Caenorhabditis elegans: one gene and its partner. The protein of the gene in region 2 purifies or fractionates together with the protein of the main gene of each other region. This does not show direct contact. Each region holds a gene or a part of one and is shown on either strand. Other genes may lie near its edges. The genes, in order: clec-265 and C29E4.17.

Evidence for each region.
Region 1: the proteins of C29E4.17 (region 2) and clec-265 fractionate together in Caenorhabditis elegans (co-fractionation; one large-scale study listed by BioGRID). This does not show direct contact.

What each region holds. Positions count from the first base shown.
Region 1 is NC_003284.9:3,030,209-3,033,955, reverse strand, and holds clec-265 (C-type lectin domain-containing protein), read right to left. Parts: upstream 2,174-3,747; 5' UTR 2,161-2,173; coding exon 2,060-2,160; intron 2,012-2,059; coding exon 1,875-2,011; intron 1,831-1,874; coding exon 1,732-1,830; intron 1,677-1,731; coding exon 1,488-1,676; intron 1,434-1,487; coding exon 1,272-1,433; intron 1,219-1,271; coding exon 1,040-1,218; intron 991-1,039; coding exon 889-990; 3' UTR 839-888; downstream 1-838. Other genes in the region: M02F4.2 (Nucleotid_trans domain-containing protein), read left to right, coding at 14-136, 407-486, 529-631.
Region 2 is NC_003281.10:7,920,783-7,923,757, forward strand, and holds C29E4.17 (Spiroplasma plectrovirus-related protein), read left to right. Parts: upstream 1-1,724; 5' UTR 1,725-1,755; coding exon 1,756-1,760; intron 1,761-1,964; coding exon 1,965-2,067; intron 2,068-2,111; coding exon 2,112-2,201; 3' UTR 2,202-2,237; downstream 2,238-2,975. Other genes in the region: Putative protein tag-250, read right to left, coding at 315-498, 808-996, 1,047-1,135, 2,420-2,507, 2,794-2,875; C29E4.14 (EF-hand domain-containing protein), read left to right, coding at 155-218.

The DNA of each region.
Region 1 (3,747 bases), on a different chromosome or scaffold from region 2:
ATTTTGAGTTCAGTCTGATGGTACACTGTTGCATCATCGCTTTGATGCAAAATGGAAAAGAGGAGAGGAAGTGGAGAAGCTGTTCACATATTTCCCAAACAACACCTCAGCGCATGTTGCGAGTATGCAAAAGACTGTGAGTTTCTTTTTTCAGCTAGGACTCCCAGCTGACTTGAGTGAAACGCGAAATGCGGGCCTCACGCCGACGCCTGTCGTTTTTGTTTGTGTGAAATGAAGTGTGAAAGGTAATTATTTGGAAGCGGCCGACACGTTCGGGGTTCCGTGCCGCACTATAAATTCGGATACAAGTGGGTGTAGGCCGTCGCGGGCGCTGTTGCAGCGACCTTATGGGAAGCCCTATTTTCAACACGCCGTGAGGACCAAATGGAAATCTGCATGTTTCTAGGCTATAACAATATTCAATGGTTCGCTTCCCGTATTCTCATTTGATTTCATTAAAGGATTGAACAATTGCGTTCGGCAAATGTAAGTTTGACTAAAAGTAAATTGAAAAGTAGTTTTTTTCAGGGAAACACAAATTATTTGTACAAGCACTGGTGGAATGTGTAGAGATCATATGGATAAAATGACCGAATGGATTTATGATAAAACTGAGAACGTTTTTGTATAATTCTATGACTTTTATTTCCGTTCTTGGTTCCGAACACATAAAAAACGACACGTTTTTATAACAATAAGTTTACACTTTGTGAAACATTTAACATGAAAAAATCCGGTTATCCAAACGGATAATTTATGTTGAAACCGTATTTTAGGGAAATTTTATGAAATGTTATACAAGATGAAGCACATTCAAGTATACAACATATTAGAAAACAGCAATACAAAATCTTCATCAGAATAAAGAAACAAATCAATAGAACACTTTTAATAGACATATCGTTTACATGCTGCATATCGACATGTTTGATAGGCACAGTTGCCCATTCTCATGTAGGTTGCATACCCCATCGGATTGTTCAAGATAATCTGAAAACAACAAACATTGAAAAAAATGCCGTTTCAAAAAAATTAGTACCTGTCCCTGGCTAGTATAGTCGGCCGGCTCAGCTGGAGCGAATCCCTGAGCATAGTCAAAAACAGTAGAGTCATCCCATTGGAAGTATCCACGGTCCGAGTTATAAGTTAGCCCAATAATAATGTTGTCTCTAGCTGTCGCGGTAGAAACCCAATATGAATTCGCTTGGACTCCAAGACCTGAAAATTCGAATATAAGTACATATATAATTGATTTTAGCGCAAAATCTTACGGTTAATGAAAGCAGCTTCTCCTGCATTATGAACAGAAGCCAGTGTTCCTCCCATGCTTCTACAAGTGTTCATAGCATTATAATAGGTAGTGTTGGAAATAATCTTGAAACAAGCACATGTTGGTGGATAGTACTCCCATCCGGATTGGCATGGAACAAAGTCTGAAATGAAGAGCCAATTAATAAATTTGGAAATCCTCCAGAAAAATAACTTACTCAAATACTTTTGAACACAGCTCGGAAATCCACTTGGTTTTACAGTTGTGGTGAGCACTGGTTTCGGGGTTGGTGGCACAAGGTCAAATTCGCACAGTACACTGTGAGAATCTGGGCATGGCTGAGCATACCAGTATCCGTTCATTCCAATTGTGATGCAATAACCAACGTTTACACTGAATGGTTCTCCTGAAACAAAATGACTGGTGAACAAAATGTTCAATTGAAAGCTTTTTGAACTTACCAACTGCAAAGTTTGTGTAGATTGGTGGTTTTCCGTCATCTCCAACAATATATGTTCCATCAGCTACATATTCGAGCCAAGTGTGCCAATTAGCATGTACTACAATAATTCAAATGTATGTAGATAAAACGTTTTAAACTTACATTGAACTTGTTCAGTGACAAAGTTATTCTCAGCATACGTGAGGGGTGTGGTGAGTCTGGCATATGGTCCGTATGTCTTCCGGCAGTAGGCAAGGGCATTATCCCGAGTCATATCCATGCCAAGAGCTGCGTAGCATCTAAACAAATGTATTAACAGTGCAATTCGAATAAGAACGGATTCTCACTTTGCGTTATAGATTTTTGTTCCAGTTGGGCAAGTTAAAGCATTTGTGCAGTAAAACACAGAAGCAATAAGAGAAATTACAAAAATTAAGTTTTGCGACATTTTCGAATCGAGCGATATCAATGCCTCCGATGACGATTTTTATACAACTGTTATCAGTGCACCATAATTGCATGATGATTTCAATTTCCGAATCGTCATTAGGGAGTTTGGTCTTTCTTGAAATACTTTATCGCGGTTTATGAAAATGTCACTGATTAATTAAAAATGATAACCTTTTGGAAATAATTTGGAAGCAGCATTTGTAGTCGTATTATCAAGAAGTTATATTTAAACGGAAATTATTTTGCGGTGGTGGTCAAAAGCATATTAGTGTTTGATTGTTTGCTGATATTTCATTGTTTTCAAATAAGTATACAAACATATAAATCGTTGCATAATTGTGCCCGCATCGACCAAAAAACTTAATTTTTATTCGATTGTCATCTTTAATTGCATATTTTGGCATTTTACTACGTGTTATTTTGTTAATTGAGATGCGTTTTTGGTACCATAATTGTGCCCGCATCAACCAAAAAACATTTCGATCAACAAAATAACACGTAATAAAATGCCAAAACATGCAAAGGATGACAATCAAATAAAAATTAAGTTCCAACCGCTGCGACACTGAAAAGTTATCAAAAATTTGAGATTTTAGCTAAAAAGGGCCATTTTTTTCCAAAACTTTGAGCGCCCATAATTTTTTTTTTTGAAAAATTTTCAGAACGTCTGGTTACGAAATTCGGTAGGTTTGCGTCATTTTGTGTCTAAAACGCAAAGTCTCAAATTTCGGTACTCCACCTCGGAATTATTTGCTTCCATCGGTCGAAACTTCTTTGGTTTTCCGATTGTGCTCATGTTCACGAGACATCAGTGGGAGCCAACACAGAGTCCTTTTTGTCCTTTTTCGCTTGTCTCCGGAAAATTGCGTTGCCATATCCATAGATTTACTCTTTCTTCCGTCGTTCCTCCAAAATCAGCTACGATTCTCGCCGCAAATCCCGTTGTTCTCCTTTAACGCTAGAATTCAAATCTATTGCTGCAACAAAGACGAATGACACAAAAATTCATTATCCAGGAACATTACCGCGAAATGGAAAACAACATTTCGAAATTCGGTACTGATTTAGATATTTACCTTGGATCCGACGGCTTATACCGAATCAGAAAAAGAGTTCACTCGTCAATGCTTCCAAGAGAATCATCACATGAGCCAATCGTCATCCATCACAAGTATGCTCTGGTAGAAATCATCATGAGAGAAACTCACGAGATCAACAGCCATCTATTTTGAAAGGTAATATATTTTTCCATTTACTAGAGACATTGCACAGTTGTAAAACATATCAAAGAGCGAGATGAGAAAATTAGTGGATGTAAAACATATTGGACTTGTTGCTTTGGAAATTAGGGAAAGAACACAAGGATAGACAATTGAAAAACAAATATTTAGATCAATGATGTTGATAACATTGATATTTCACGAAAGCATCGACCATTTTCAAACAAACTGCCTTCACACTTCATGACGTCAGAGCAAATCGAATGAGCTGTGTTCTGTAAGAATAAAATTTGAGAAAGTTGTAAAAAAATAATTTAAAATACTTCTCCGTGGAAAATTTTTCCAATCGCTTCTGTGACTAGGAT
Region 2 (2,975 bases):
CGAAATTAATTGAAAACGTTTTGCCGTCAAATACCTAACGAAATACGTGGATTGGGGGCGGAGCGTTGTCAATTGACCATACATCTCGTTTCCATGTCGATTACAAAAGGGCTCTCATCATCGATAATGATATTTCAAAAATATACATTTTCAGCGAACTCGATAAAAATGGAGATGGGATGATCAGTTTCAGCGAATATTCAAAGAAGTTCTCATAGACTCGAATATTGCTTTTTAATTTTACTCTATAAATTAACTTTCTACCTATTTTTGTGATTATTTTTAGATTTTAATAAAAATTTAAAAAAACTCACTTGACATTACTGGATGCACAGCAGGTGGTAAGAGTCTTATCGCCGCCACAGGGAATTTCTCACAGACGCCAACATCCACAAAATGGCACATGACTTGTCCGGATTGTGGTGGCTGCTTGGCAATTACACGAAACCATGTTCCATTCGAATCTTGAAGGGCATAAGCTCCACCAGCCACAATTTCCTGTAATTAATGAATACAGTTGTCTCATTTATGTAAAAGTACCAGGGCTGGGCATTTTTTGGATTTTTCGAACCAAAAAGGCAACAAAAAACCACTTTGGAACTCCAAACGTTTTTTGTAGATCTACAAAGTATATTTTACAAGTTTCGGGTTTTTTATAGTTTTTAATTCGTTATCCGAAATATTAGTTTTTGAATTCTTTTATTCATCTTTGTATGTTTATCAAAAAATATTTACGTTTTTTAATTGTTTCAACAACTTCAATTTTTTTCTTTTTTCGTCGGAAGCCAGTTGAGCACATGAACTTACATAAATTGCAACTCGACTATCGAGTGCCGATGGCGGAGTTTCTTGAGCATAAATCTCAGCGAGCGTAGTTCCAATTTTTTCATACTGATCGTCATCCGCGAGAGCTCGAATAAAGAATCTCTTTGGCGAATCTGCATAGACGATTGACACAGTTGATCCTTCTTTTAGAGCGACAGATTGTTGAGAAAGCTGAATATTAAATAAAATTGATCTTAAAAAATTGAATTTAAAAAACATACCGTTTTTGCATGCTCCGTTGGCTCATTCTCTTTTCTTTGTTTAATTTTTTTCAACTCATCCGCAGTTGGTTCTCGATCCGTGGAAATGACTGAATAAGTATTGAATGTTTAAATGTTTCAAAAAGAATACAAAATATTTTTAGAAAACATTTGGTGCAGAACAAAAAACAAATTACGAGTGAGTATATAATTACACAACGATTAGAACTCACTGAAATCGGAATTCAATTCCTCCATATTCGAATTAAGGTTAGAGAAGACAGAGGGGGCGTGGTGTTAATGCGAATTGGGCAAGCTGAAAGTAGGGATTAGATGAAGCATCAGCAGCAGGAGGCTTTGGATGATGGGATCAATTTCATGCAATGAAGGGATAGGCTAAGCAAAGAATAAAGGGGATTGGACAGTAAAGAGGTGATGTTAATTAAGTCGTTGAAATGTGAGTATATATTAGGTTGGGAATACTTATGACCGAGTAAATAAATAGAAGAATTGGCGGGAATTTTTAATTTAATCGTTTGTAATACTGTTTGAACAGGTTCCTTTGATTTAGCAATTATTTACTTCATCACTTTTGAAATAATCAGAATTAATTTCTAGTATATTTTTTTTGAAAAACGTGAACTTCATATTGTAGTAATTTTTTACAACAGTGGTTTGTCAAGGGACGTTTTCCTTTTTTTTTAACAATTTGTGTTTCAAAAAGCTATTGATGAGGTAAGAATTTTGTTTCGACGAATCTAAAATAGTCTTAAATTAAGAAATATCATTTAAAAAATCAAAAAAGAATGAAAAATTATACACACTTTTTAACCTATCAGACAGATTTTTCATTTCTTGTCGATTTTCATCATTTTTTCGTATTTCATGATTATTTTGAGTAATTTTAAGTAAACCCCTCATTTTCCGTTTTTTTTGCAGTTTACCCAATGAAATAATCGAATGGATTTTCTTGGGATCCATCCTGTTGCTCACACTTTTCTCAATAATTATGGGTGGTTATTTGACAATGCGGATTAGGAGGGTATTTTCTTTTTGAATTTATTCAGTTAATTCTAAATATTTTAGATGGGCGGATTCAATCTGAAAATTTCATACAGGCCACCGGATTCTGAAGCAGAAACTAAGAAGAAGAAAAAGCAAAAACTAATTATTTGATTTTTAAATATTTTTCGAATAAAAATAAATTAGTAATTTTACTAGTAACACTTCAAACTAATAATTTAGGTCGAGGGACAAAGAGACATAGAAAGGACAAGAAAAGGACAGTTATTCTGTATGTGTGTCCCCGTTTTCCGACAGCATGTTCACATAATTGTTATTTCTTTTCACTTTTTGAGTGTCTATTTAAATGTATTCAGAATGTATTCATTCACCTCGTACATTTACTGAATTTATGGGTGGTCTTTTGAACGATGATGTGTTTGAGAGACGGACGAACAGTATGGTGATGGGGCCGCGTGTCTGGAAATTGCTTTTTTTGGAATAATTTTTTAGTCTTTATTTCTCGAAAAGTAGCGGTTTTCATGAAAAATTACGATAATGGGTCTCGGGACGATTTGAAATTATTTGCGCTACAATATGTGAAGAGTACTGTAGTTATGACCATTGAAGTCGTTTTTTTTGTTTTTGTTTGTGTCGTACTCGTGTCGTACTCGTGAATGGCGCACACTCTTTTAAGTTTTCAATCGCGTCGAGACCGGGTACCGTAATTTAGGTGATATAATACTTTTGATAGCTTAGAATATACCTGAGCTTCAAACTCTTCTGCAGCAGTGACTTGCTGAATCCAATCTTCGGGAAGTTCACGTCCAAGTCCTTTTGAAACAAATCTGAAAACCAAAAAACTTTTGAATTTTCTAAAAAAAACAGTAATTACTATCAAGAGCGCCATCGAAAATTTTTCGCTTTTTCTAGAAAAATATCGACAAA